4 linked regions of the Zea mays genome follow. The main gene of each other region encodes a partner of the protein of the gene in region 4 in a complex. Links are inferred from orthologs where the notes say so. Each region holds a gene or a part of one and is shown on either strand. Other genes may lie near its edges. The genes, in order: 30S ribosomal protein S31, chloroplastic-like; 30S ribosomal protein S10, chloroplastic; 30S ribosomal protein S6, chloroplastic-like; rps8.

Region 1 (7,948 bases), on a different chromosome or scaffold from region 4:
CAAAAATAGAGGGACTAGTTTTTATATGGTTGTTTCAAATTATATATAGCCTGTTTGTTCAATCTAAATATATTTGCCTGTTGTTTCATGGCTACTAGAATAGATGCTGGACGCATATACATCTAGGACAGTCAGATATGTAAATCGTTTAAAGCTTTGTGCTAGTCTAATCTTGATCTGTGGTTCCTTTTAGTCATGATGTTTATGCCGATACAATTATATATAAAGCAGTTTTTGGTTAATAAACAGTAAACTTCCTGAATTAATAATTAAAGTTTATTTTGTATTATTCAGGATGGCCTCCTGATTTGATAATGGAAGTCATTTTGTATTATTCAGTATAGCCTTGGTACCTGGTAGATAGCCATGCTTATTATGCATATTGTTTTGCAGATGAGCTCATCAAGAATGCTGCCTACATTGGCACCCCCGGCAAGGGTATCCTTGCTGCTGATGAGTCCACTGGCACCATTGGCAAGCGCCTTTCCAGCATCAATGTCGAGAACGTTGAGGAGAACCGCCGTGCCCTCCGTGAGCTCCTATTCTGCTGCCCTGGTGCTCTCCAGTACATCAGCGGTGTGATCCTCTTCGAGGAGACCCTGTACCAGAAGACCAAGGATGGCAAGCCTTTTGTTGATGTCCTCAAGGAGGGAGGCGTCCTCCCTGGCATCAAGGTTGACAAGGGCACCATTGAGGTTGTTGGCACTGATAAGGAGACCACCACCCAAGGCCATGACGACCTTGGCAAGCGTTGCGCCAAGTACTACGAGGCAGGTGCCCGCTTTGCCAAGTGGCGCGCTGTTCTCAAGATTGGCCCTAATGAGCCATCACAGCTTGCCATCGACCTGAACGCTCAGGGTCTGGCTCGCTATGCCATCATCTGCCAGGAGAATGGTCTGGTGCCAATTGTTGAGCCTGAGATCCTTGTTGATGGCCCTCATGACATTGATCGCTGCGCTTACGTCACTGAGACCGTCCTTGCTGCCTGCTACAAGGCGCTCAACGAGCACCATGTCCTCCTGGAGGGTACCCTCCTGAAGCCCAACATGGTGACTCCAGGCTCCGACTCCAAGAAGGTGACCCCTGAGGTGATTGCTGAGTACACCGTCCGTACCCTCCAGAGGACCGTCCCTGCTGCTGTGCCTGCTGTTGTCTTCCTCTCTGGTGGACAGAGCGAGGAGGAGGCCACCCGCAACCTCAATGCCATGAACAAGCTCAGCACCAAGAAGCCGTGGTCCCTGTCTTTCTCCTTCGGCCGTGCCCTCCAGGCGAGCACCCTCAAGGCCTGGGCTGGCAAGGTGGAGAACCTGGAGAAGGCTAGAGCTGCCTTCCTCGCCAGGTGCAAGGCCAACTCTGAGGCTACCCTCGGCACCTACAAGGGTGATGCTGCCGCCGACACCGAGAGCCTCCACGTCAAGGACTACAAGTACTGAGTTGCTTCTCTTTGCGTGCCCGTTTTGGAACTCCTGCCTACGAGCTAGGTTGCGGAGTGTGGTTTGCTCGTTAGAGCTTATTTTCGGACATCCAAAAAACATGCTTCCTATGTGGGATGATGGTTATCTTTATATTTGTATGTTAATTAGTCTCTTTGCTGTTAAATTTCGTGTAAGTTGGTCCTGCCGATGGAGAATCGAGCAGCTCCCTTTTTTTGTTCTATCAACTATGCTGTAATTCTGGCTATGTATCGGCAAAAACAATTCTATATGCTGAGTTGGAGTCGGCAAAAATTCATATATGCTGAGTTGGAGACAGCAACTTGTTTGGATCATATTTTGCTGAGACACTCGTGAGAGATTGGCATAGCAAGAGACCTGAAAGTGTTAGCTGAAGTTTGAAACAAAACTTACATCATTGCAACACATATTAATAACACAACACGATCATTAGTTCAGCACGCAAGATCTTTGCACATTGCTGACGTATGAATAAATCGCTAGTTGGATTTTGTTTTACCTGTTAGGGCTGGATTGTTCGGTTAGAAGAGGATTGAAAGAGATTAAATCTTATTAATCCCCTTACAAATGAAACGTGTAATCTCTCCGTTACCACTAGATGAATCATTTAATATCTTCTAAAAAAAACTTATTTCGACACAGTTTCATTTTGAAGAGAGTAAAGAACTCAGCAGCTGGAAAGGAAAATAAAGAACCCAGTCAGTAGTAGGAACATTACTAGCCAAATGAAAGTGTGGCAGCCTACCCATCGATAATTATAGGCGAGGAAATAATTACTTAAAATATGTAGTATTTGATTTGGTACAAACTAGGCCAATTAAGCTCAGGGCAAATATAAAGCAAGGCAGAACTCGGACAACCTATTCCAGGATGTCCTCGTCAATCTCGATTGAAATGATCTCCCCATCATCGAACTGATCCTTCCTTGGAGGAGCAGGAGGGGCAAAGAGCCGCGCAGGCCCAGTTCCCTTCTTCTTGTTGCGCGGCCTCGCCTAGACATGATCAGACAGCTAAATAAAACAGAACAGGGGGAAAAAACCAAAAATGCGATGTAAATTGTGCTGGAGCACTCACATTGCCATATGAATGGTTGAACCTTTTGCCCCTTTTCGTTTTCTTGTCCCCTCTCCCGCAGTAGACTGAGCAAGACCAGATAAAGTTTAAAACTGTCTGTCAGTCCACAGGATCATCAGTATTGATATAAACAGAGGCCAAAAGGGACAGCACCCCAGTTGGGTTCGTAGTACAATCAGAGAATAAAATCCTGAAGCAGGCTATGGACACTAGAATTTCAGAAATTGATTTCAAATTATGATTAACTAAAACTTCTTTGAAGTACACGCATGAGAAGCATCCATCTTTGACTCTCTGTATTAATAAACCAGAAACAAGTGTTTACAACAGCTGAGGCCAGTGGCAACAGAGACGACCAAAACTATAGGCGGTAGTGATAAACAAGAGATTCAGCTTCCTTGATTGGCACTCACTCCTGACACCGTGTGAAGTGAATCAGTCAACCGGTAAAGGTTTAATAATCTACTACAGTAGTAGTTTTCAGTTCATATATATGCTCCTGCTCCTCGATACCGTAATTTTTTCGTGTGGAACAACTTAAGCTCTTAAGAATCCAGTTTCTAGAAACTAGTTTATAAAAAAAAAGGTTAATGGTGTTTAGAATCACCTTAATTTTTATAAATTGATTTTAGCTAGAGAAGACTAGCTTCTTGGTTTTTTAAGAAACTAGGAATCCAATTTCTATAAATTAGTTTGGAACCACGTCAATTTCTATAAAAAAAACTAGGTGCTTCCAAACAGACCCTTAGGCCATGTTTGGAAGCAACCTAGTTTTTAAGAATCTAGTTTCTAACTTCAGTTTCTATAAAGTGATTTATAAAAAAACTGGTTAATAGTTTTTAGAACCACCTCAATTTCTATAAACTGCCTTTAGCTAGATGGGATTAGCTTCTTGGTTTTTAAGAAACTGAGAATCCAACTTCTATAGACTGGGACAAAAGCTAGTATATTTGGAACCACCACAATTTTCATGAACCAGTTTGTTAAAAACTGGATGCTTTCCTTGGTCAGTCTAGTTGACCCAGATCGACTAACAGCATCACAACCTCCATCTCTTCTGGGGAGTACATTTCAGTAATAAATCCCTTGACTATTTCATAAAAAGAAGAAAAATCCCGATTGAATTGGAACGAATTTCCCAAGTGTCAGTGTAATAGTAGTCATTGCCTTTTCTCCCTTATTGCGTGGAAAACAGTAGCCATTGCTCGTGACATGTGTTAGAAAGAAACTACTCCTACATCGGACAAAAACAAGGGGAGTGAGGAGGTAGCTGTTTAATTACCGTCAAGAACTGGAGTGACGGTGGCCGACAAGACGGCGCCGACGGCGAACGCAGCCCGGGCGCGGGGGAAGGCGGCGGAGGCTGCGAGCGCGTAGGAGGAGGTGGAGACGTAGGATGAGACGGCGCCGTGGTTGTGAGATGGGAGGGCCGCGGCGGCGGTGGACATGGCCATGCCCTGGACGGCGAGCAGCGCCATGGGGGCAAGAAGGAGCGAGCAAGCGCAGGGAAGAGAGACTAGTGTGCTCGGGAATGGTGGTGTGGTGGATCAGGTTGGATAAGGGATAAAAGGGCTCGCAGTTGGAGCCACAGCGCACATCTAAGATGGGCTGCAGGGCTGGTGTGGGCTGGGCCAGAAGTAACCTTATCGGCCATTACTGTAAAGTATGGTGCACACACCTAGCCAGGCCGTCGTCGAGTCTGGTCAGGTCTTGGATCCTTTTCTTTCTCTTTCTTTTTTTTGATAATTAATATAATTAAGATGACCAAAGCTTAGCTTTGATTCATGCTAACAGAAAACAAAACCCTAGATGCTCCAGCGTCGTTCTCCGGCCCGTGCTTCTCCTGCTGAGTTAGGGTTCTGGTCCTTCTCGAATCTCGATTTCGGCGGTGGACTGGTGGAGGCAGACACTTGAACCCATGGTGGCCGGCCTCACGGCACCACCCGTGCAAGGTGCCAGCTTTCCGGACTGGATGAGCTCATGGCTTGTGCATCAACAAACCCTGAGGGTAGGGTGAGCGTCAAGGAGCGGCCCCGAGCTGTCCCCCACCCCCGTGCAGGCAATTTTCGGTCCTGGAGCTGGAGTTAGTAGTATTTGGGAGCGTGTGGCTGGAGCGATTCCAATTCATTTCAGCAACCGAAATACCGAATGGAGGAGTTGCCAAGGTCACTGTCAGGCACTCACCTGTGCACTACTGTACAGCACAGATTGAACGGTCGCTATCAGGTTCATGTCAACCGAGCAGAGTTTCAGTTTCAGTGCCCAATCATGAATAAAAAACCGATGGCCAAAATGTAGTGGTGGGAGAACGCCTCAAGCAAAGTGCCTTGCACGGAGTGGAGACGGTTCGATGGCATGACCTGACCACATGTGTCTTCTTTCTTCTGGAACCTCTAGAAGGAGAGGAACGGATGAATCCTCAACAACGCTCACGATTATGAATGGTGCAGGTGGCCACGAGAATTGAAGACGATATATATAGAGCAGAGAAGTAGAGGCCCCCTGATTTCTTCATTCTGAACAGTCCGGCAATTCGCCAGACGAGAAATGTCAAGCTAGTATATTATATATAAAACCCGAGACATTTTCCTTCTTTATTTACAACCATTACAGCGAGCAACGCCACCATGCAATAAAGCCAGCGCAACGGCGTGGCATGCCCACGAGAGTATCGTCTGTTGGTCGGCAACGGCTTCGCTTTGCCAACTCGATCCGCAGAGGATGGTCGGCTGCGGGTAACCCTTGTCGCTTGTACGCCGCGTCTTCTTCCCAGACCCCCTTCCTCTTCCAGAGCTTCAGAGTGGGGGGTGGGGGGAGGAGCCTTGCTAGACTAGGTAGTCGTAGTAGACCAGCAGCATGTTGTCGGGGACGATCAGGGGCAGGCTGTCGATGAAGCTGAGGAAGTGCTTCACGTTCTCCTTCTCCAGCGTCACCGTGTCGATCACGTCGTCGTCGCCGGTGAGCACCCACAGGTCTCTGGACCGGACCCTCTTCAGGCTCCCGCGGCAGAACGGGCATGACTGGGACCTTGTGTACCTGCAGTCACGGAACATCCAGGTTACAGCGTTCAGCATTGGTGTTGCTTGGAACAGTACAGGATGGGGTCATTAAAACAGTTGGGGATGATCCCTCTTATCGCTACAACAATAGATGGGCCCAGTGGTCACCAAAAGAATCTACTGCAATAACCAATCCCATTGAGTTTATCCGTAATCTAATCTAACTCAAGCAACATTATTGTGAAAGCTACTATTGACTTCGCCAAACTTGGAGTGATGCAGCCGATTGATGAGTATCATTGAAACCAACAACCTGACATGTATCAAAACACAATGACTTGCAGATGACATCCTTGGTACACAAGCATGATCCGCCAGCTAAGAGAATACAATCATTTAGGATTTAGAATGCCACGTCAACGAGTGTCTCCCCTTTTATCCCTTTATTATTTTTTTGTCTGTAACTTAGCAGTTGGCTGGCACTGGTGAATAATGGTTTAACGACTTCATTAAAGCTACAACAGCACTCCCAGTTGTCTGCTTTCGATTCCGTTAATGGACCATTGCTAATTGTTGACGAAACGTGGGGGCTTTTTAACAACGGCGCAAAGTATCATAAACTTTGTCCAGCAAATCTCTGGCATTCAGCTGGACTGCTGGAGGAATGAAGATAATGAATCTCCTGACATGGCACATGGTCATTAGATCACATAAAATCCCTCCTAGTTTTGACAAACAGAAGGCTGAAAAATATAGAACAAGAAACACATGGACTCCCATGCCATCATGGTGGTAAAAAACAAATAGAAGAAACTCCGCACATGAGGGGAGCGAAGATTAAAATGGAACCCCCCTCCCCCCCCCCCCCCCCCCCCCCCACACACACACACACAAACACAAACATTCAGTTCAGGAGAATGTAGCATCTGAATTTGACTAAATGGAGGCTTTAAATGGTGAACATGAAAAAAGAAGTGCATTGGGACTATGATGGGTTGTTCAACCACCCCCTCCCCACTCCCCACCAACAATGAGTGAGTAGAAGTAGCCCACAGAGAAGTTTAAGAAAATCATTACTGAACCACCCTTGCGCTATCAAGAGTTCAAGACTGCGTCAATGCTTACTCGTTTCCTCGAACCTTATCTTTAAAATCGACATCACATTGAGTCTGTTCAAACCGCTAGCGAATTTTTTTAATGGTGGCGTGTGATATCGGGGCCCTAACTGATAACGATCCAGGCTCAGTCAGATATATTGTTGCTTAAATAATACACCCCCCAAACGGATAAGCAAGAGCGACAGGGAGCAATACCAGTCTCGGTAACAGTTGATGCACATGGCATGGTTGCAATTCGGAAGGACCATCTTGGTGCAGGTCTCCAGGCAAATGCCACACTCATCCTCCCTGTCATCTTCGGCAACAAGCTTCCGACCGCCGCCGCCGCCGGCGGCGGCAGCAGCAGACCACCCTTTGTCCTTGCAGTCCTTGTCCATCAAGTTGTCCTCCAGTTGTTGCAAGAAAGGGTATATGATAGCTGCATTCCATGGGGTCCCAAAACTATATTAAACCACTGCTGCAGCAGCAGCAGCAGCATCAACAAAAAAAAATCTTGAACAGAAAAAAAAAGCTTCTTAATCACTAGTTTCTATGGTGGATAGTAAGCATACTGTAGAATTCCTTCAGGCTCGCCCTCCTTTCTATGGTGGATATGGAGGCATCTTCATCGACATAAACCTGCGTGTTCAACCACCAAGACCGTGTCAACATTCAAAGCCTCAGGAGATACCAGTCAGTTCGTCGTGGATTCAGCAAACTCTCTCGGCAAGTGCTATTCGTCGGTACCTTGTAGACGAGAACCTCGAGCAGGCCAAGGTAGCTAGGGAGCGTGTATGACAGGGAGCAGCTGCAGTCCATCCATTGGATAAGGTTGAGAAAGATTGGAGCCATGGAGCTGTAGGACAGCCTCATCTGCACGCAGGCACCCCCATACGCCCTGTGTATAGCATGCGCCCTGGAGAAGAGAGAGGGGATTTTACCTATATTCATCAGTAAACGCATAGAACACGAGCCGAATACAATCGGGGACGGAAAACGAAAGGGCAAACTTTTCCCTACTCTACAGCTTTTCCAAAGAAAAATCAGGTAGCAAAGGAGAACGCCGAGAATCAAGAGAGTAGGAAATACAGGGCAAATTAAAAGGGAGGAGAGGACTTACAGGGTGTTGGCATGGTGGATATCAGCTTCAAGCGCCTTGAGAGACCCCCGGAGGGACAGAGGCCTGCCGCCATGGAACATGACTCCCTCTAGAACACAAAACGAAGCTCCTCTTCCGCTTCCTCCACCCCCCGCTATTCCAAGCTCTCAAGCCTATAAAAAACACACAGAGACTTGGGCAAGGCGCAGAAGGGGCGGGCTCGAG
Region 2 (8,282 bases), on a different chromosome or scaffold from region 4:
ATTAGAAAGCTTCGTCAGTCTTTTGAATCCCAGAATAAGTGCAGCCAGCGGGAATAAAGTGTTTGCTTATATCTAGACGAATAAACTAGACAGCCAGTATATCGGATGCTGCCCAATTTGTTGACTGATTCAGTCCTCTTAATCGACCATACTATTCTACTTCCTTAGGGAAATTAGTAGTGCTAGTTTATGAGTGCAACCAATGTAGACCATCTCTTTCAAATATACTGTACTCTTGAGATGCAAAGACAATTCATATCTTCTTTCCTATTACAGGCTCTACATTTCTTTCAGTACGTTGCCGATTTTGCTTGGTGTTTCCATTTGAAGAGTAGCTTGCTCAAGTTGCCCTGTCTGTCACTGACCTTTTTGTTTCCAACAAGAAACCATGCATGGCTCACACACGCAGGTGCTTTTGATCGTAGAAGTGTGATAGCTAATACTGATAGGAGGGTGCGGACGTGTGGTGTTGCGCACTCTTGGGTGTGAATGTAGCGTACTGTACTCTTGAAGACTAGCATATGCAATTTCAGTGCCCTAATCAGATATTGGGATGTACTTTTAGCATATGTTTCCTCTAGTGACCAAGCAGACGATATAGATTAAGAAAAGGATGGCCAAAGCACTGAAATCATATGGGCTATGGGCCATTCAGAACCCCAAGCTTACTTTGTGGATTTTATTACTCGCGGAGGATGTAGAAACGAGGACTATTGAGGCAGGAGTCGGGGGGCTGCTAAAGACCAACTTTATGCCTTCCTTTTCTTCAGAAAAAACGAATATCACTTGATCTATTAAAAATAGAACAGCACACCTAGCCAACTGAAAGTGTACTTTTTTTTGAAAAGAGAAAGAAAGAAACTACCATTCTCGTAGGATTTTAGCCCCTCTAATCCTCTCCAGTATCTTTGCTACTAAACAAGCCCTAAGGAATAGTTTGGAAATTTAAATCCTCTCCGAGAATCATGAATTCCCGGAGCGGATTTAAGTTTCCAAACTATCAAAGAAAAATAGAAAGAAATCCCCTTTACAAGTTACAAAGCACCGTCAGTCTGTTGAGCAGAATCAGTGCAACCAGCAAGAAAGAGTATTTTGCTTATCCAGACGACTCAAACGATCCTTCAGAAGCTTACAAATTTGGCCAATCCTTCGTCTGCTTCAGACTTGCTAGAAGAAATTTTAGTGCCACCAATACAGTAATACAAGTATACAGCTAGCATGAACCATATCATCTGATATACTTCAAATCAAGTACATTCAATTCTGAACATCTTCTTTCCTAGTACAGGCACTACATTTCTTTCAGTCCCAGAGAAAAGCTGCAGAAAATGAATACCTCATTACATCAAACTTCGGAAAGTTCAGCTCCAACAGAATCATAGCTTAACCTCAACATCCACACCGGCAGGGAGCTGGAGTTGCATCAACGAATCAATTGTTTGGGCAGTTGGATACATGATATCAATCAGCCGCTGATGCGTCCGGATCTCGAAATGGAACCGTGAGTCCTTGTGCACGTGAGGAGAGTTAAGCACACAATAGACTCTCCTCTTAGTGGGCAGAGGAACGGGACCCATGGTCTTTGCGTTGGTTGTTTTGGCAGCTTCGATTATCTTCTTGCACGAGTCCTCTATCAACGGCACCCAGTAGGACCGCAGCTTGATTCTGATCTTCTGCTTGGGTGCAAGCTGAGAACAGATAACATTCATAAAAAGTGTTATTAGTCGTTGAAAGATAGCAACTTCTGCATGCAAACTGAACAGTGAAGAAATAAAAGCATGTGTTTGATTTAGGGTAAGGGTCATATAATGTTTAAATATGTTTCCAAAAGGCAAAATAAACCTTATAACACTTCAATTACCTGTACAACACTTCAATTACCTGTACGACAAACATGTAGTTGCTAGGAATCAAGACACCTTGATGTTATCAAGTCAATTAAGGTCAATTTGTGAAGGCAAGCGCATGCTTTTGCACTATATATATTGCGTGTGTGTTGGGCGGAGAGGAGGGATATTGTAATGTTCTGGAAAATAAACATGCTCAATAAAACAGTCCTCCAGCAAAATAGGCTATGTCGTGGCTATGTTTGTTTCCACCTACCATCATCCAGATTTAGTAAATTTCAGTACAATTGCAGCTAATTCAAGCTGATGTGATGCAGGCCAAATATTGTAATATTATGAAAAACATAAATGTTCAATAAAACAGTTCTTCACTAAAATTAATATATCAAAAATATTGGGGCAAAAAGGGTATGTCACATGGCTGCGTTTGTTTCTGCCTACCCTCATCCAGTTTAATAAATTTTCAGTACGGTTGCAGCTAATTCAAGCTGATGAGTTGCACATCTATGATCAGCTCTTTCGATAATATGCCATTCATGGTTGCTTATATACTTATCAAACGCTAGAGCATCCTCTGACGGCACAACATCGTCATTAGCACCATGTACTGTCAGCACCCTGCAGTTTGGTCAATAGACATGCATGCAGATTGCAGAGTGCCTGTCTTAAGACCATCCATCAGACTTTGTCTGGTCACACGGTAGATGATACTCCTATTTTGTCTTCCACATCAATGAAACCATGCTGATTAATCCTTTCCATGTAATCATTTACGGAATGATCTCCAATTCTACGTTCCAGCTTAAACCTTCCAGAAAGGTTAATAGCTTTAGATATACCGTGAATTCGTGATACATGGATGTATAGAGGATAACCACATTTTCTCCTTTACTGTGGCCAGCAATAGCATGGGTGTCACGTTTGTGTTTTTGAAATGCAGGATCGCATCACATAAAACGTCCACTTCGTTATAGTAACCTTATCCAAAAGTACCTTCGCTTTCTCCATTACCAGAATAATCAAAACACATATGCTGACATTTTCTGATGTTAATGCATCAGCGAGACTTAACATAATTCTACCTTCCTTTGATGATCTAAATCTGTGACACAACACTACAAGGCCCTTAGATCCAGCTTCATGCAAAACACCAACAAGTATCTCTCCGTATCTGTTTATTATCACCATTTCCTCTTGTGATACATCTAAAGAAAATAAGAATCACTATGGGAGGATCCCAACTGTGCACAAGGCCTTGTAAAAATTTCGTTTTCAGCACTTCCATACAACAACTGCAGACAAATATTTACGATGGACATGCTTAACAAGCAGAACTGCAGAAGCATGAAGCAAAGTAAACATAAAACTACAAGGAGTAGCCTCAATGACAGATTATACAGTGTTAGCTCTATTTAATTTTACTACTTAATAGCCATTTTGGACATGGATCTTCAAAACACACCTTTGTCCTGTTTACAATTTGACCATTTCCATGTGAGAAAAGTAAATAAGTTTATACAAGTTTAAAAGGCTGAGCACACACATTGACATTATATATTTTAGAATGAAGGAAGCATCTCAACTCGACTCCAACAGTTCAATGACAGTACCATGGAGGTTCCTAGGGAGACAAGCAAGAGGAATTGCATAACTTGTCAAATTGTAAACACAACAACACAGTTAGATATTGCTAACTGTTCAGGGGAACACACTGACTACCACAGTGGGCGCAATTACAGCGAGGTAAAGACAATAAGGAATTCATGGTCCATGGTTGCTGAGCGCTTGAGACAACTGCTGTCTTTTTTTTTTTTGCTTTCTTTCGATGGCCAAATGATACTAGGCTTCAGTCATGAGTCAGTATGTCACAGCCTCACAGGCCTAAATATGGGCCACCATGTCGGGCCTAGTGGCCCAACTGAGGCCCAACACCAGGCCCTGATGAGCCGCGGCCTCTACTGCCCCTAGAATCCCTCCCGCACTGGAGAATCCGGAATAGATGGAAACTCAAAGGTAATCTTCAATAAGCTTGGAATAAATAAAATATAGCTTGTTTAGAAAATAATGATAGAGTTTGTTTAAGAAAGAAGATTGGTTTGTTAGGAAACAAGATTACAAATCTATAAGAATGATGCTTGGGATACAAGTCCTATAGGAACTATAAATAATTAAATATAGGGGCAAATAACTATTTCAGTCTAAGCAAGAATAGAGTTATTGCTCCCTCCCTCCCTCTCCCTATGCTGCCCCTCCCCCTCTCCCACGCCGTCCACCATTTTTCAAGTACGTCAAATAATTCCAAGGAGGAACAGAGCATTAATAGGCAGAAAACTTTGAAAGTTTGATCCAGCAAGCTTTCAACTGCTAAGTAGAATCTGGAAAGCTAAACCACCATAGACCCTCAGATATCCTCATTCTAGTCTGATAGGAATGATTTAAAGGACAAACGAAATGAATTTCCCACATAGTCTCTTCAATCATGTGCTGGTAACTATGCATGGCTTAAGCATTAAGGATGCTAAACTGTCTAACGTGATATGGACTTCTACAAAAACATACATTTTTGAAGTCCAAGTCACACTCACGTTAAGAACAGTTTACACTAAGATTAACGGCTTAAACGAATGTGCTGACTGATATTGTCTAGCATCATTGCATTGCGTCCTGAACGATTTCTAAATGCCATTTACACAAATACCCAGAGCACATCGTGCTCTCCATTTATTGTGATTAAACAATCACAAGTAAAATGTGCACTGCTATGCAGCAATAAAAGAGAAACATGTTGTATGGTTTATGGTTATAACTTTTCACAGTTCATTCGATCAAGGAAGCAACAATATCAGAACAAAAGATTCGGTAACATAATAATCTGGGAAATTTTTAACTGCTATGGAAGGTACCTGCTCCCCATCATCCCCAATCGACGATGGCAACGGAATTCCCGTTCCTGCCCCTTCCTGAAAGCGCGAGGTTAACAATTTTAGTCACCGAATGAACAAGGTCTAACGAGTGTGCCAACTGAACCAATGTCGCCATGTAATTGTAACCCCCATAACCAAGCGGTACACGCCATCATGAAATTCGCAGGTTTTGGACTCTGCGTGTGCGAAAAGACACGGCAATATCAGTTCAGTCACGTACCGGTGGCGCGTCGGGGATGCCGTCGTCAGAGAGGGTCTCTGCGGGCGGTGCGGCCGCGGCCCGGGAGCGGAGGGACGCGCCGCGGAGGGAGGACGGGAAGGAGAGAACCGAGGGGCTAGAGTTTGCGGTGCAGCGATGGAGGAAGAGGAGGGGGAGCGGGGAGGAGGTGGAGGTGGGGACGGCCATGGCGAGGGGAGGGGGGGTGAGGAAGCCGTTTGCCGCGTTGGGTTTTGGAAGACCTCTGCTTCGCTATCGCGGTGTGTTATCCGGTTCCAGGGGCATTTGCGCTCGAGCCCCTCCAGCTTTGTTACTTTCAAAGCGAGGTGTCTGGTGGCAAACATGGGCGAGTTCTGTCTCCTCTAGCATTACTTTCGAAGAAGATCATGAATGATTTGTTCGGAAAGGAAGATCGTGGAATTGGATATTACTGTGACCTCAGCTAAAAGTGTCGATCTGGCTGGCATAAACTTGATCGTTTCAAGGAACAATCAGTTACCTTCTTCTTGCCTGGATAGACTGTCCATACCAGCGCTCAAATAGGAGAAGCTACATTCACAGCTCCTGGCACGAGGCAAAAGAAATACAGAATGATGAGCCATAGAGGTGGCCAAACTAACTCTACTACAGACATACATCTACAGAGCACCAGCTATTCACTTCCCTTCTTTATCCCGGCCATCACCACAATCCCCAGCACTCCTTTTTCCCAATCCCCTTGAGAGCAGCTACAAGATCTAAGCCCGACTGCTGCCCACGAAGCCTTGAATATGATGGAACGGTTGCAGTAGCAGCCCCCCCCCCCCCCCCCCCCCCCCCCCCCCCCCCCCCCCCTGGTTAAGCTGCCTGCTGGTGCTGGGAGATGGAACTGTATTTGATTTGTTCGACAATCGATCACCAAAAGTTGGTTTCGCTGTGATGACTGTTCTATCAGAATTCATAGCACGTGATGCCTCATTAAGGTTGAATCCATGAACGTTCGTCTTGTCCCGATCAGATTTAGGAGAGGTTGAGAAAGGGGAATTTGGTGACTTCTGTGAGAGCAGTAACCTTACAGATCTCTGCCAGAGTTTTGCGCTTGTCCTCAAGCTGACAAACATGCCAGATTTAGCAGCAGCAGATAAGCACTTATTAACAACCACCTCACCAATATGAGCTGCAAGTTCCTTAAGAGTCGACATACAATATTTCAAAAACGGAGATTGGTTTTCTGCATAATGCTACAGTAAGTTCAGATCATCTGACACCTGAGCAAATTTATTCACCTAGAGCAAGCTGCAAAAATCGGGGCATATGAATAGCTATTGAGTTGCTGTTAAGTGGTTGACTCAGTTTCAGAGATTCGCCAAGCATTTTGATGCATTTTCCTATCTCTTTTGAGGAAGATTGCTAGGTGTAGAGATTTCCTGTTCACATAGAAGACAGAAGGTGAATTGGTTGTGATTGATAAAATTAGTGTGACATGAATAGTATACCAAGTTTCAGATATTTGCCAGGTACTTTTAAAGTTCTTTCCTTTCCTGCTATTTTTTTCTGAGGAAGATTGTTAGCAAATAGATTTGTTGGCTATGTAGCAGAGAGAAGATGACTCAGTTCTAATCAACCAATATAGCATTAAATGAAAATACATTCCACACAAAGTGTTTGCGTAACAAAGACCGAACATAACCGAGCTGACGATCATTCGGTTCATTGGCTGGCAACAAAGCATCTTTAAAATCGTTTGGGGTGAATTCAGGTATTCCCAACGGGGTTAAAGATACCCTAATAAGTATTAGCTACAACGTCAGTCTGCGTATAGTGAGGTAACTAGATTTTTTTTCTTCCATCAATGTTAATGGGAATCACAACATCATGTCCAGCACACATATACTCTAATAAATATGGATAAAGGTGAATACATAGTCATCGAAACAGGCCATAAATGTTTTCGTTGGAATTTTTCATGATTCCATTCCGAGGAAAAATCGATGGGGGGTGTGTTGGGGCGAAGGCAAAGACGCCACCCTTCGCTCGTCGCCTTTCGCTGCAGTCGCTGGTTTGACGAAGACAAAACGGGCAGGGACACCCTTCGCTTCATTCAGCACCAGACGAAGGCCTGCGGTGACGTCTCCCCGCAGCACGGCTTCGTCCTGCTCTAAGGCCCACGTGTGATCTGGCCCATTGTAACGGGCCTCGCGTGGCCGCCTTTGTGTTACGGGCCTAGTTTGTAAAGGCATTCTTGTAAGTACAGCTTGTAACCCTGCTTTATGGGAATATTCTGGGGATAAACTAGGTGTCCGAGGGCACATGCGTCCTTAACACAAGGCGCTGGGCACTCAGATACCTATAAATACCCCCGCACAGTGCCCGTGAGAGGCTAGATTAACAGAGCCATTTGCCCCCGAGCACGTAACCCTGTTGTCACCACCGTTCACCCTTGTTGGCCTCCTTGCTACTGAGAGCAAGTTCCAACATTTGGCGCCCACCGTTCGTGCTACGACAAGACCACCCGCGATGGCACCCAAGAGAGCTAACCCGAAGGCTGACGAGGCTGCGAAGGCAGCACTGCTGGCCGCGAGAAAGGGCAAGGCCCTCGCCCTCACCCAATCCACCCACCAAGAGCCCACTGAAGACAACATTCCCCGCACCTGCGAAGACAACATTTCCCACACCTGCGAAGACGACACCTTCCGCACCTGCGGGCCCGAAGGACAATCGCAGCCGCCCCCAGGCTTCGCCCCACTGGAGGGCGCGGATCTCACCGAGGACGGCGAGGTCCTCGGCGTCTCAACAGAAGAACAGTTACAGTTGTGCGCCCTGCGCCTCAAGAACCGCAATCTCCAGAGGCAGAAAGAGATACTCGAAGCCAAGCGCCAGCGTGTGTCCGCACTAGCCAAGGTGCGGCAAATGATACGCGACGAGGAGCAGAAGGCCCAAGACCTCGAGCGCGAGATCGCGCTGATGCAGCGCGAAGGCCACCTCGGTCTACAGCAAGAGCCACCCCTCCAGCAGCGCGCGCAACCGGAAGACACGCGCTAAGGCCACCTCGGCCTGCAGCATGGCCCACCCCTGCAACACCGGGCGCAGCCGGAGAACCCGCGTTTCCCCCAGCATGACTACGCCTTCCAGCACGGCGCGCCATTCCAAGGGGTCAACTACCTCGACGAGCGAAGTCCCCTGGCGCCACACCTCCAAGTGACGCCTTGGCCAGCTAACTTCCGAGCAGGGGCATATCCCAAGTACAACGGCAGCACCGATCCGGCGCAATACATAATAAGTTATCAAGTCGCCGTTGCATCCGCCGGAGGGGAC
Region 3 (7,614 bases), on a different chromosome or scaffold from region 4:
ACACTGGAAAATTGTTCCTGTCATGTATGTACCAGCACATTTACTCGACAATATGATTTTCTTTACAGCGCGTGAATTACACATCTAGGGTTTCAATGTTTGTAAGGCACTTATTCAGCATCAACCCTTTGTGCCTCATGTTTTCAAATGACCCTGTTGTTATGTGCCTCATGTTTACATCATACATTGATATGGATTTCTTGGTAGGAATGGTTTGCACATGTAATTGAATTTACTCTTTAGAGGTTCTTGTGGTCTACACTGCCTTTTTATGGTTTAATGGAATAATGGTTGGCACTATTTTGTTACAGATTTTTCATCTTATTATCTGTGTCTATTCATCATGATGCAATGCTAGATACATACTGATGATTCTTTGTTTAATTTGTAGACCGATCAAAAGTTGCGCCTCTGTGATATATGTGGAGCATTTCTGAGTGTATATGACAAGTAATGCTTCTAGCTCTTTGCATTCCCAAAAATATCTGAAGCTGTCAAATTGAATATTTATCCTAAGCTGAAAATATTGGGTTTTTATTGGGTTTAAAAATTGCACCTTGATAAATCAACCTTGACTTGTGGGTTCCATCGGGCTTTTATCCCTAGCCTACCCCAACTTGATTAGGATAAAAGGCTTTGTTGTTGTTGATCCTAAGCTGAAAATATCTCAACAGTGATCGACGTCTTGCTGACCATTTTGGAGGGAAACTGCATCTAGGCTACATGCTGATTCGTGACAAACAGAAAGAACTTCAGGTAAATTCCTGCATGCCTATGCCCAAAGTAGAAGTTAAACACTGGAGATTTATGAAACAGATTAATACTTCCAAGGTTTCCAAACCTTAAAGACAAATAAAACAAAATTTACATTCTGTTTGGCCATCATCAGAATACGATAATCTTGGTTTATTCACTTATCCTCAATCTAAATCTATAAAGGTGCAATTTATCAGGTGCTGAGTGTAATGTACCGTTTTCTGCTTTAAAGAGTTACTCTGTTTTGGGCCTTTTGGCATCTGTGAGTTTTCTTATCTCAAGAGCCTCAAGGTTCTCACCTTCCCTCTATATATTATTTGATTCTCACATTGCCGGGCACTATGGTTATTACGATAGTCATTACAGGAATTAGTCCATGTCGCGTGATTGGAATCTCATGCGATGATCTTCATACCTATGGCTACAACAGTCACTGTCTGTTGACAAATGTAAGCATAGGAGCGTGCGGACCATGGTATGAAAAAAATCATGTTTACTTAATTGTGACAAACTGCTCATGTGTCTGCTTAGTATCGATTGTTGGGCAGAAGCTGGAGGTTGCCTTTTTACTGCCTGAGCCATATTATGTAGACCAGGTGACAAATAATACTGGTTAAGTTATCCTGAAAGCACACTTCTTTTGCCAACATTTTGCTGTAAGTGACAACTTGTTCTGTTTTCTATCTGCTACCTCCTCCATAAGTTTGCAAGTTACATTTTGCTGAAGCAACCTTGCCTGTAAAGTATCGCCCGCCCTATCTTTTGGAACGTTGTCTCTGATTTTAAATATGCCAAAATATCATTATCTGTACTGTCAATAAACAAAATACACTGTGGCATCTTGCAGGAGCAGAGAAACAAAAGGAGGACAGGCAAAACTGAAGATGATAGGCGGTATGGTATTCTGTATTCCGCATCCTCATTGTTTTAGTCAGCAATCAGCATCATGGTCATCTTATCTGAAAGCATGCCCATTTGGCTCTTTTAGATCTAGAGAGCAGAGCAAGGATCGAAACGGCCCGCCGTCCAGGGATAGAGATTCAGAAAGGAGAGACAGGGTTGAGTCTCGAGATGGAAGAAGAGATTATGATAGGGAACGCGATAGGCGTCACGATAGGGACCGTCGCCATGACCGCGACCGGGATAGGGATTATGACCGCTCCCGCGGATATGACTCAAGGAGAAGAGAGCGTTCACGCTCCAGGGAGCGCAGCAGGTATTGCTGAATAATAGGCACACTTTTTTATTTGAAACCCTTGTGCCTCACATCGTTGACTGACCCAGGTATTTGTTTATGATTTCAGGCGCCATGAGAGATACTAAATGTTACTCCATGGCTGACAGATTTTGGATTGCTGGCGTCTGTTCTGGTTTGTGTTGTGCTTTGTGTCTTATCTTCCGAAGTTTCCTGTTCCTGCTCGAGAAATCCGAAAGCCAATCTGCGTTCTGCATCATGTCATGTCCTAGTGTCGTACTGTTTAGTTATATGCCGAGAACATCTCTTTCATCAAATGAATATTTGGAAACACCAACGCACTTGACGCTAAATGGGAATGAAGTGTGGAGTATTTAAACGCCTCTGAAATCAAATGAAAGTTGTACTTGTACGAATCTCTTCCACAAATTGCACTGTATATGCTTGTACTGTTGCAGATTTACGATGGGTTTGGACTGTTCTCCATCCCCGGAGCGCGCTCAGGCTCGACGCTACCTAGCTACGGACCTTTATTTTTGGTACCTGATGAAACATGATGGTTTTAGGAGGCGCGGTGTTTCTCTGGCGAACGATGGCCGGACGTCCATTTTCGAGAACCACAAGACAAGAAACATATTCAAAAAAAAAAAACTCAACAATCATGGCAAAGGTGGATTCTTGTACAGCAGATTTCTTGTAGTATGGTATGTGAACAAAACAGTGTTCAGGGCCTGAAGGCGGAGGAGGCAACCCGTCTAACTAGACGGCCTTCCGCTGGCGGACCTTGAAGCTGGTGGAGCGGATGACGTCGTCGTCGGCGTTGAGCTTAAGCTGCAGGGCGTCCATGGACTCCGGCTTGGTGAAGTAGGTGATGAGGAGGTAGATGCCGTCGTAGTAGGTGGACGGCAGCCCGGTGCGGCTGTTCCTCTTCCTGATGCTGTATGCCAGCGGGATGACACCGCGGTTGAAGACCTCCACGTACATGGCGCCGCCGGCGACGAGCAGCTGCAGCACAGGAAAACACCAAGCTGAGCTGGATTGGAATGGTACGCAGATGGCATGTGACTGATAACAGCGATTAAGGGCCCGTTTGGAACTAACAAATTGTTAGCTAGGTTAAACCAGCTAATGGACTGATTGTTAACTCACAAATTAGCTGAGTTATTAGGTAGGGGGTGTTCAAACCTCTACTGCTATATATTCAAGCTGTTCACCTGTCTTTAATCCGAAACGGTTTCTTGTCTCTATATATTACCGCCGCAGCATCTGACTTCAATGTGAACAAACTGATTAGCTCTAGACTAGAGTGAGTTTCTAACAGAAACAGTGCCTAACATACATGGTGAATTCAGGATAGGATGGCAATTAACTATGGCGGATCCACTTTTATACGTTTAGAAATCCTAATATTTATTGGATGAAATTCGAAACACTCGGAACCCTTTTAACATTCGTCTCGCATTGCTCAAGTATGATACCAGCCTGTCCAGAAATTATCATCTGTCTGCTCTCTCTGCCATCGGAACAGCAAATGGTAGCGAGATATGCAAGAGGCAGAGGTGAGCCGATCGAGCCGTGCCCGTGTTACGCTGCTCCATCCATCCAGTTAGCTATAGTGGCAGCCAAACGGAGCGGAGGCAAACGCAAATTACCTCCTCGTAGCGCTGGATGAAGGCGAGGCGCTCCTCCTCGGACATGTCGGGGCGGAGCACGACCATGGTCTCGTACTGGCGGAGGCCGGGTGGGCAGGGCGGCATCTCGCGCTCCTCCAGCGCCAGCGCGGCTTCCGCGGCCGACATCCCGAGGCCGCCGCCGCCCAGCCCTAGCCCCGGGCCGAACCCCGACTCGTAGCCGACCTCCTCCTCCTCGTCCGCGCCGCCGGCCGCGGACATCGCCGAGCCGCCGTAGAAGGACGCCGCGTACCCAGTGGAGACCGCGCGGGGGCGGGCGAAATGGGAGGGGGCGGGGGAGGGGAGGCGAAGCAGCATCGCAGCGGGCGGGCAGGAGCGGAAGGGCGGCAGCGCGGCGGACGCGGATGCGGAGGAGAGCGGCAGCAGTGCCATGGGTGGCGGCATTGGAGGGGCCAAGGGGAGCCGAGCGGCAGGGGGGCGACGAGCGCGAGCAGGACAGGAGCCGGAGAGCGGGAGGAGGCGCTGACGCTGTTGGCGTCGCGTCCACTCGATAGATAAGGATAGGACGCCACGCCCTGTTTGGAGTTTGCACGGATTTTCATATTGGTGGAAAAACGGCCGGGTTGCCAGTTAAACCAAAATTGTTTACAACGTTAACTTTGTGTGTATTTCAACTATATGTAGTTATGCATTTCTTCTATGTTTTATGTGTATGATTCTTTTGTTGTCATATACGCAGCATGTATGTTTTCCTTTATTTACCCATAGAAAAAGTATAAATTATTCTTTTAATTATACTAATTGATTATCTAAGTTTGCTGTCCAAAGATTTAGGCAGCTAAAATACAATATCAACAGCGGACCTATATTTTTTTAAAAAAATCTCGAACAGTTGAATTGACTAAATATAGAGTAGACCTAATCTTCTCTGTATACGAGATATAAGGGGCCTGTTTGGTTCAGTTTTTTTCTGACCAGCTTTTCTGAAAATCTGGCTGTAAGGAGAATCTGGCTGTGGGGAGAATCTGAGTATCATTACGATTACGTGTGGAGGAAAATAAAGTTGTTCATAGGACTCAGGATCTAGAAAGTGATGAATTCATACTATTACAACGACTTAACCGATTATGTGTTTATATTGATTTTGGATGGTTTTTGTCCCAACGAATTTTATAGAAGCTGGCTGAAAAGCTGAGCGTTTGGCAATCCGCAGCAGCTTTTGGTGGCCAGAAGCTGCTAGAATCCGAAACAAACAGGACCAAGATAAAAGATCTAGTGAATTTGAACACCGAAAAACTTTGTGTGAAGGTCTGAAGACATTCTATTGTAGGTCAATTTGACAGGACTTCGACTCTACTTTCTCACGACTTCTTAAAGGGGCCAATAGCCGAAAACAACTCCTTGTAGAGCTCAAAAAGTCAAAGTCATTTTTTATAAAAGAGACACGATGCTGAAATATGGCTTTTATTTTTGGATTTTTTAAGCTTTTGCTCCAAGTTTTGCTGGTGTTCTCATTTTTACCCTTAGTCGTGTTTTTTTACTTAGTTTTGTCCTTCTAGTGTTATAGAGTAGTAGGGCAAAACTAAGAAAAAACACGACCAAGGTTAAAAATAAGGAATGAAGCAAAACTAAGGGTACAAATTTAAATAGCCCATTTTTTTACTTACAAAAACTTCAGCTTCATAGAAGGTACTCTACTGACAATAAAATAAGGAGCTAGAGCCCTTCTAAAAGGAGCCATATCAAATGAAACAACAGTATGAGTTTATTTGAGATTCACTAAAAATAATTTAAATTTTTGAAAAACTTTGTCAAACGATCTAGATCCACTAAATTTATATTTACCAAAATGGGGGATCTAAAGGCTAGATCCACTCTCTTGGTGAAGCTTCTCAATGGAAGCTCCAACAACATAAGTTTGATAGAGTTGAGAAAAGTTATCGACCACTACCATCGATTACAGTCCAATTCTTTCTAATTTTTCCACCTCTCTTCTTCTCCCGTCACACATCTTCTCTCTTCTAGCGTCGCTTTCTTCACCATGACATCTCCTCCCATGGCGAGCCCCTCCCTCGTTGTCTACTCGTGCCCGCACCATCGCTGGTCGGACCATGACCGTGAGGTCAATAGTGTGTGCCCTCGTTGGCTGGCAGCGCGAGCTTCTAGACTAGTGATGCACACTCCTTGACCGACTGGCCACCCCACCCCGTTTGGTTGTTTAGGTCAATCTTTGGATTATGCTGATGAGAGCACCTAGAGGGGGGTGAATAGGTGATCCTGTGAAACTTGAAAACTTAAGCCACAAAAACTTGGTTAATCGTTAGTACAATAATTGCCAAGTGGCTAGAGAGGAGTCAAAACACAATAACCACAAGAAATCAATCACAGAGATGACACGGTGGTTATCCCGTGGTTCGGCCAAGTACAAAACTTGCCTACTCCACGTTGTGGCGTCCCAACGGACGAGAGTTGCACTCAACTCCTCTCAAGTGATCCAATGATCAACTTGAATACCACGGTGTTCTTCTTTACTTTAATCTTTTCCCGTTTGTGAGGAATCTCCACAACTTGGAGTCTCTCGCCCTTACAATTGAATTTCACAAAGAAGCACAGAGTAAGGGAGGGAAGCAACACACACAAATCCACAGCAAGATGCGCAACACACGGTCAAGAATCGAGCTCAAAAGACTATCTCAAAGTTCTCACTAGAACGGAGCTCGAATCACTGAGAATGACAAACGAATGTGCAAAGACTGAGTGTGGATGATCAAGAATGCTCTAAGGTTGCTTGGATGTCTCCTCCATGCGCCTAGGGGTCCCTTTTATAGCCCCAAGGCAGCTAGGAGCCGTTGAGAGCAAATCTGGAAGGCCAATCTTGCCTTCTGTCGTCGGGTGCACCGGACAGTCCGGTGCACACCGGATACTGTCCGGTGCCCGATCTCCTTCCTAAAATGGCGCAGCCGACCGTTGCGGATCTGGGAGCCGTTGGCGCACCGGACATGTCCGGTGCACACCGGACAGTCCGGTGCCCCCTTCCGACCGTTGGCCCGGCCACGTGTCGCGCGCAGATTCCGCTGCCGACCGTTGGCTCACCGGACAGTCCGGTGCACACCGGACAGTCCGGTGAATTTTAGCCGTACGCCGTCGGTGAATTCCCGAGAGCGACCTCTTCACGCCGAGTCAGCCTGGCGCACCGGACACTGTCCGGTGCACCACCGGACAGTCCGGTGTGCCAGACTGAGCTGAGTCTTGGCTGTACACAGCCAAGCCTTTTCCACATCTTTTCTTTTCTTCTTCTTTCTGTTTCTAACACTTAGACAAGTATATTAGTACACAAAACCAATGTACTAAGGCTTAGAAACATACCTTTACTCTTGATTTGCACTTTGTCCATCCATGAGCATAACTTCACATTTAAGCACTTGTGTTGGCACTCAATCACCAAAATACTTAGAAATGGCCCAAGGGCACATTTCCCTTTCAGCTGAACATGTGCAACCCCTCCCTCTAGCCAGGCTTGGGAACAATGGTCGAAAATGAGAGCGCTCCCAAGCCTGGCCTAACTCAGCTCCCGCGCGACCAGGGCATATAACCATGCATCTCACTAGGGTTCCCCTCCCGCACTCGACGATGTGGCTCGCGCCTCTCCTCACCACTCCACACCCTCTTCTCATTGTTATCTCCTCTCCTATCCATCATGTCCCCCTCACTTGTGCTCCTTACTGGTGCATCGACTTAAGTAGCTATTGCTACTAGACTCTGTGTCGGTGATTTGGCACATCCCTCTCCTCTAATTTTATCAATTTCATGCCTTTTGGAATATGCTGACTTCGATTCACTTCTGTTCTTGTGTAGATCCTTCGTTCCCTCTCTTCTCTTGAATGCCTACTCTCGGAGGATCCGACTACCTCCATAGTTAGGCATACCCCTCCCCTATTCTCTCATTACGCTGATTGTAAGCTTTATTGCGTGTTTCCCGTATTTTTATACTCTAGATCCCCATGTATTACAGTATGTTTTGTGTTCAATATG
Region 4 (6,668 bases):
AATGCTACTCATTATAGGGATTTCGACAAAACGAATTTATTCATCACTAAAGCCGAAGTCAGTAGGAGTACTATTATGAAAAAATTCAGACCTCGAGCTCGAGGACGTAGTTATTCTATAAAAAAAACGATGTGTAATATAACAATTGTACTAAATATAGTAAAGAAATCAAAATAATCTTTAGATCAATCTAAGATTTCGATTCCCAGTAAAAAAAAAAGAAATATAATAGAAAAATATGGGACAAAAAATAAATCCACTCGGTTTCAGACTTGGTACAACCCAAAATCACCATTCCTTTTGGTTCGCACAACCAAAAAATTATTCTGAAGGTCTACAGGAAGATAAAAAAATACGGAATTGTATCAAGAACTATATACAAAAGAATAGGAAAAAAGGCTCGAATAGAAAAATGGAATCAGACTCAAGTTCTGAAGTAATTACACATATAGAAATTCAAAAAGAAATCGATACAATCCACGTCATAATCCATATTGGATTCCCCAACTTATTAAAGAAAAAGGGAGCAATCGAAGAATTAGAGAAAGATCTCCAAAAGGAAGTTAATTCTGTAAACCAGAGACTTAATATTGCTATCGAAAAGGTTAAAGAACCTTATAGACAACCTAATATTCTTGCGGAATATATAGCTTTCCAATTAAAAAATAGAGTTTCATTCCGAAAAGCAATGAAAAAAGCTATTGAATTAACTAAAAAAGCGGATATAAAGGGAATAAAAATCCAAATTGCGGGTCGTCTAGCAGGAAAAGAAATTGCACGTGCCGAATGCATCAAAAAGGGTAGACTACCCCTCCAAACAATTCGCGCTAAAATTGATTATTGCTGCTATCCAATTCGAACTATCTATGGAGTATTAGGTGTCAAAATTTGGATATTCGTAGAAGAAGAATAACTAACCATGTCTTCCCATTCCGCCAGTGATAGAATAAAAAAGACAAAACCTTGTTTTTCCAAAAATCCCTAAAAAAAAGAAGAAGTATCCCTCTTTCTATAAGATTTAATGAAAATTAAGAAATCTTTTAATATAATTGCTATGCTTAGTGTGTGACTGTTAGTTTTTTCTTTAGGGTCAAAAATGGAAAAAAACTTAGTAATGATAGAAAATTAACTAATAACCAACCTATTGCTTCGTATTGTCGAGATCCTAACTAAGAAACAGTCACTATGTGAATAAATACATCTATCAAAAATGAGTAGATCTATCATATAGTTGTAGCAACTGCATTTTTTTCTCTACAAAAGAAACCAGATTCTAGGCTATGAAGCAAAACTAAAGGGTAGTGGATAAAAGGAGGGATGATAGATAGAAGGAAGAAGAATAAGAAAGATATAGGATTCCCATATGTATGGTCTATGAATTCATCATAAAAAAAAGGCAATGTGATAAAGCATCAATATAATAAAATTCTCAAAAAAAAGAGAGAATTCATCGTAACTTGACTTTTGAAACAACAAATAAAAATATAAAGCAATAAATAAAGAGCAGCCGGGTTAATAAAACTGAGAAAATTGACTCGGAAAAAAAAATTGGAAGCTCCATTGCAGGATTCAAACCTAACCATTAAAGGAGAAGCTGTGGGAACGACAAAACCTATGACTACATAGGATTTATTGAAAGAATCCTAACACTTCATTGGTGGATGGCGGACAAACCACAAAATTGCTTTATTTGATAAGGTTCTAAATTAACAAATAAGACAGGAAAGAGTAAATATTCGCCCGCGAAATCCTTATTGGATTAGAATACTTTACCACGATTCAATAAGAATAAAAAAAAAGGAGATTCCAAAAAAGGAAGGATTACATTTTATATAAATATTGAATTTGGATATATTCTAGATCTTCTTTCTTGACTATATATTTAATTTTTCTTTTTTAAGTTTAAGAAAGTCAAAATCAAAAAAACCTAACTTTTTCTATTATATATTGATGTGTATCTATCTATAATATTTTTGAATATTATGGAATTAGAGAAATGACATTCGCACGCTTCTCATTTCATTCGCGAGGAGCTGGATGAGAAGAAACTCTCATGTCCAGTTTTGTAGTAGAGATGGAACTAAGAAGGAACCATCGACTATAACCCCAAAAGAACTAGATTTCGTAAACAACATAGAGGAAGAATGAAGGGAAAATCCTGCCGAGGCAATCATATTTGTTTTGGTAGATATGCTCTTCAAGTACTTGAACCCGCTTGGATCACCGCGAGACAGATAGAAGCAGGACGAAGAGCAATGACACGATATGCACGTCGTGGTGGAAAAATATGGGTGCGTATATTTCCCGACAAACCGGTTACAATAAGACCCACAGAAACACGTATGGGCTCGGGAAAGGGATCCCCCGAATATTGGGTAGCCGTTGTTAAACCAGGTCGAATACTTTATGAAATGAGCGGAGTATCCGAAACTGTAGCTAGAGCAGCTATCTCTATAGCTGCCAGTAAAATGCCCATACGAAGTCAATTTCTTCGATTAGAGATATAGAACCCCAAAAAGGAATATTGAAGATAAAAAACCCCTGGTTTTTCTTTCTGGAAAGACAATATTTCTTTCATCCTTTTGCATTGAAATAACAAATGGAAATCCAAATAATATGATTCAACCTCAGACCCTTTTAAATGTAGCAGATAACAGTGGAGCTCGAAAATTGATGTGTATTCGAGTCATAGGAGCCGCTGGTAATCAGCGATATGCTCGTATTGGTGATGTTATTATTGCTGTAATCAAAGACGCAGTGCCCCAAATGCCTCTAGAAAGATCCGAAGTAATTCGAGCTGTAATTGTACGTACACGTAAAGAATTCAAAGGCGACGACGGTATAATAATACGCTATGATGACAATGCAGCAGTTATCATTGATCAAAAAGGAAATCCAAAAGGAACTCGAGTTTTTGGCGCGGTTGCCGAAGAATTAAGAGAATTGAATTTGACTAAAATAGTTTCATTAGCTCCTGAAGTATTATAAATACTAGTAGACGAGATATAGATCAAAGAAAAAATTAGTAGATTTTGTCTCACGTATATGCTTTAAAATCCTAAATTTAAAGAAAAGGGAAAACATGTTGATTATAGAAAAATTAGGAGGAACCTAGAATTAGAGTCTTATGGGCAAGGACACTATTGCTGATTTACTAACCTCTATAAGAAACGCAGACATGAATAAAAAAGGAACTGTTCGAGTAGTATCCACAAATATTACCGAAAACATTGTTAAAATACTTCTACGAGAGGGTTTTATTGAAAGTGTTCGGAAACATCAGGAAAGTAACAGATATTTCTTGGTTTCAACTTTGCGACATCAAAGGAGAAAGACTAGAAAGGGAATATATAGAACTAGAACCTTTTTAAAGCGTATCAGCCGACCTGGCTTACGAATTTATGCCAACTATCAAGGAATTCCTAAGGTTTTGGGCGGAATGGGAATTGCTATTCTTTCTACTTCTCGAGGTATAATGACAGATCGAGAAGCTCGACTAAACAGAATTGGGGGAGAAGTTTTATGTTATATATGGTAATGGCCCCACCTATAGTACCCAAATTCTATCTCGAACTTCCTATTTTGAAAATAAAAATAGAAAAATAGGAGAAAAATATATGACAGAAAAAAAAAATAGTAGAGAAAAAAAAAACCCGAGAGAAGCAAAAGTCACTTTCGAAGGTTTAGTTACGGAAGCCCTACCCAACGGAATGTTCCGCGTTCGCCTAGAGAATGACACCATCATCCTGGGCTATATTTCAGGAAAGATCCGGTCTAGTTCTATACGAATACTGATGGGGGATAGGGTCAAAATTGAAATAAGTCGTTATGATTCCAGCAAAGGTCGTATAATTTATAGACTTCCCCATAAGGATTCGAAGCGTACCGAAGACTCGAAGGATACTGAAGATTTGAAGGATACCAAAGATTCAAAGGATTAGGTTTTTCTGGGGTAATAACTTCCAAGTTTCAAAATTTAAGTGAAGAGACTTATTTTTTCCAAAAGAATAGATTCATAGTTTAAGAAAGGAATACCCATATATGAAAATAAGAGCTTCCGTTCGTAAAATTTGTACAAAATGTCGACTGATTCGCAGGCGTGGGCGAATTAGAGTTATTTGTTCCAATCCGAAGCATAAACAAAGACAGGGGTAATCTTTCGAAAAAGAAGCTTTTCTTTCTAATAGCTTTTCTTTCTAATTAAAGTAAAAAGTACCCACGGAAATGCCCAAATTGCAAATAAAAAAAATGAAAGTAAAGGATATATTTTAACCTGAAACGGATATCTTTGTATCTTTTTTCTTTTTGTTATTTCTAACTCATATTTATGAGATAATAAAATATGACAAAAGCTATACCAAAAATAGGTTCACGTAAGAAAGTGCGTATTGGTTTGCGTAGGAATGCCCGTTTTAGTTTACGGAAGAGTGCACGTAGAATAACAAAAGGGATTATTCATGTTCAAGCTAGTTTCAACAATACCATTATAACCGTTACAGACCCACAAGGTCGGGTCGTTTTCTGGTCCTCCGCAGGTACTTGTGGATTCAAAAGCTCAAGAAAAGCATCACCCTATGCTGGTCAAAGAACAGCAGTAGATGCTATTCGTACAGTGGGTTTGCAACGAGCAGAAGTTATGGTAAAAGGTGCTGGTAGCGGAAGAGATGCCGCATTACGAGCCATTGCTAAAAGTGGTGTACGGTTAAGTTGTATACGCGATGTAACACCTATGCCGCATAATGGATGTCGACCTCCTAAAAAAAGACGTCTGTAAAAAAAAATGAAACCGCTTTCAAGAGAAATAAACGATTCAATGATCAAATAATATAGTCTGTTATGGTTCGAGAAGAGATAACAGGATCCACTCAAACACTAGAGTGGAAGTGTGTTGAATCAAGAGTAGATAGTAAACGTCTTTATTATGGTCGTTTCATTCTGTCTCCGCTTAGAAAAGGTCAAGCGGATACTGTCGGTATTGCCTTGCGAAGAGCTTTACTTGGAGAAATAGAAGGAACATGTATCACACGCGCCAAATTTGGGAACGTGCCACATGAATATTCCACAATAGTAGGTATTGAAGAATCCATACAAGAAATTTTACTAAATTTGAAAGAAATTGTATTGAGAAGTAATCTCTATGGAGTTAGAGACGCATCAATTTGCGTCAAAGGTCCTAGATACATAACCGCTCAAGATATAATCTTACCGCCTTCCGTAGAAATCGTTGATACGACACAACCTATAGCTAACTTGAGAGAACCCGTTGATTTCTGTATTGAGTTACAGATCAAGAGAGATCGCGCATATCATACGGAACTCAGAAAGAACTCTCAAGATGGAAGTTATCCTATAGATGCTGTATTCATGCCTGTTCGAAATGTGAATTATAGTATTTTTTCTTGTGGGAATGGAAATGAAAAACACGAGATACTTTTTTTAGAAATATGGACGAATGGAAGTTTAACTCCTAAAGAAGCGCTTTATGAAGCTTCTCGTAATTTGATTGATTTATTTCTTCCTTTTCTACACACAGAGGAAGAGGGCACTAGTTTCGAAGAAAATAAAAACAGGTTAACTCCACCCCTTTTAACCTTTCAAAAAAGATTCACTAATCTAAAGAAAAACAAAAAAGGAATTCCATTGAATTGTATTTTTATTGATCAATTAGAATTGCCTTCTAGAACGTATAATTGTCTCAAAAGGGCCAATATACATACACTATTGGACCTTTTGAGTAAGACTGAAGAAGATCTTATGCAAATTAATAGTTTTCGTATGGAAGATGGAAAACTGATATGGGACACTCTAGAGAAGCATCTCCCAATTGATTTACCTAAGAACAAGTTCTCGCTTTAAATCATTGCAATTTTTTCCTCTTCTTCTTTTTTGAGTTAGAATAAAAAGAAAAAAGAAAGCAATTTGGCATCTTTGGCATAATCTATATTTTCGCGAAATGGATCATAATAAAATAGATTTTAGGTATCTAGGGAAGATTCACTTGGAAGTAACTATTTCCTAGATACCCATGCAGGGGACTTCGCGGTGGAATGAATCAACTCGAAAAATCCCTAAACTAAAAAAGACCTAAAGTTAAGGATTTATCAATGGGTAATGTTGCTCCAATACCTAACCAAAGAGCTACTGCAGTACCGATTAAAAAAACGGTCGTAGCTACTGGGCGACGAAATGGATTTTGGAATTTATTGACATTCTCTAGAAAGGGTACTGTCAATAAGCCCGTTGGCACAGAAACCATTAAGAGAACGCCCAATAACTTATTGGGTACTGTACGGAGTATTTGAAATACGGGAAAGAAGTACCACTCGGGTAATATTTCCAAAGGAGTTGCAAACGGATCCGCCGGTTCACCAATCATTGACGGCTCTAGAACCGCTAAACCTACATTACACGCAATAGTACCTAGAATTACTACTGGAAAAATGTATAAAAGATCGTTGGGCCACGCGGGTTCCCCATAATAATTATGTCCCATCCCTTTAGCTAATTTTGCTCTTAATACAGGATCATTTAAGTCAGGTTTCTTTGTTATTGGGATAGGTGAATTCTTTAGGATCCATCCCCCAAAGGAACCGGACATGAGAATTTTTCATCATCCGGCTCGAGCAAGAATGAAAGAAATAAGACCGTGGAGGATCCACAATAGAATA

The links.
Region 1: rps8 (region 4) and 30S ribosomal protein S31, chloroplastic-like share a complex: the UniProt entries of both Arabidopsis thaliana proteins name them as parts of the 30S ribosomal subunit. The link is inferred for Zea mays from reciprocal best matches to the Arabidopsis thaliana genes rps8 and PSRP4.
Region 2: rps8 (region 4) and 30S ribosomal protein S10, chloroplastic share a complex: the UniProt entries of both Arabidopsis thaliana proteins name them as parts of the 30S ribosomal subunit. The link is inferred for Zea mays from reciprocal best matches to the Arabidopsis thaliana genes rps8 and AT3G13120.
Region 3: rps8 (region 4) and 30S ribosomal protein S6, chloroplastic-like share a complex: the UniProt entries of both Arabidopsis thaliana proteins name them as parts of the 30S ribosomal subunit. The link is inferred for Zea mays from reciprocal best matches to the Arabidopsis thaliana genes rps8 and AT1G64510.

Annotation. Positions count from the first base shown.
Region 1 is NC_050098.1:170,388,353-170,396,300, forward strand, and holds 30S ribosomal protein S31, chloroplastic-like, read right to left. Parts: upstream 4,065-7,948; 5' UTR 4,007-4,064; coding exon 3,811-4,006; intron 2,594-3,810; coding exon 2,529-2,593; intron 2,447-2,528; coding exon 2,315-2,446; 3' UTR 2,102-2,314; downstream 1-2,101. Other genes in the region: fructose-bisphosphate aldolase, cytoplasmic isozyme, read left to right, coding at 394-1,433; putative RING zinc finger domain superfamily protein, read right to left, coding at 5,354-5,564, 6,841-7,063, 7,197-7,263, 7,372-7,540, 7,745-7,824.
Region 2 is NC_050096.1:24,107,626-24,115,907, reverse strand, and holds 30S ribosomal protein S10, chloroplastic, read right to left. Parts: upstream 5,296-8,282; 5' UTR 5,178-5,295; coding exon 4,992-5,177; intron 4,808-4,991; coding exon 4,751-4,807; intron 4,745-4,750; exon of another isoform or gene 1,695-4,744; intron 1,689-1,694; coding exon 1,377-1,688; 3' UTR 1,068-1,376; downstream 1-1,067.
Region 3 is NC_050096.1:303,985,564-303,993,177, reverse strand, and holds 30S ribosomal protein S6, chloroplastic-like, read right to left. Parts: upstream 4,142-7,614; 5' UTR 4,027-4,141; coding exon 3,604-4,026; intron 2,957-3,603; coding exon 2,711-2,956; 3' UTR 2,587-2,710; downstream 1-2,586. UniProt on the Arabidopsis thaliana protein: Binds together with bS18 to 16S ribosomal RNA.
Region 4 is NC_001666.2:75,358-82,025, reverse strand, and holds rps8 (ribosomal protein S8), read left to right. Parts: upstream 1-3,127; coding exon 3,128-3,538; downstream 3,539-6,668. Other genes in the region: rpl22 (ribosomal protein L22), read left to right, coding at 1-177; rps3 (ribosomal protein S3), read left to right, coding at 239-913; rpl16 (ribosomal protein L16), read left to right, coding at 1,055-1,063, 2,106-2,507; rpl14 (ribosomal protein L14), read left to right, coding at 2,617-2,988; infA (translation initiation factor 1), read left to right, coding at 3,618-3,941; rpl36 (ribosomal protein L36), read left to right, coding at 4,042-4,155; rps11 (ribosomal protein S11), read left to right, coding at 4,343-4,774; rpoA (RNA polymerase alpha subunit), read left to right, coding at 4,837-5,856; petD (cytochrome b6/f complex subunit IV), read right to left, coding at 6,074-6,548. UniProt on the Arabidopsis thaliana protein: One of the primary rRNA binding proteins, it binds directly to 16S rRNA central domain where it helps coordinate assembly of the platform of the 30S subunit.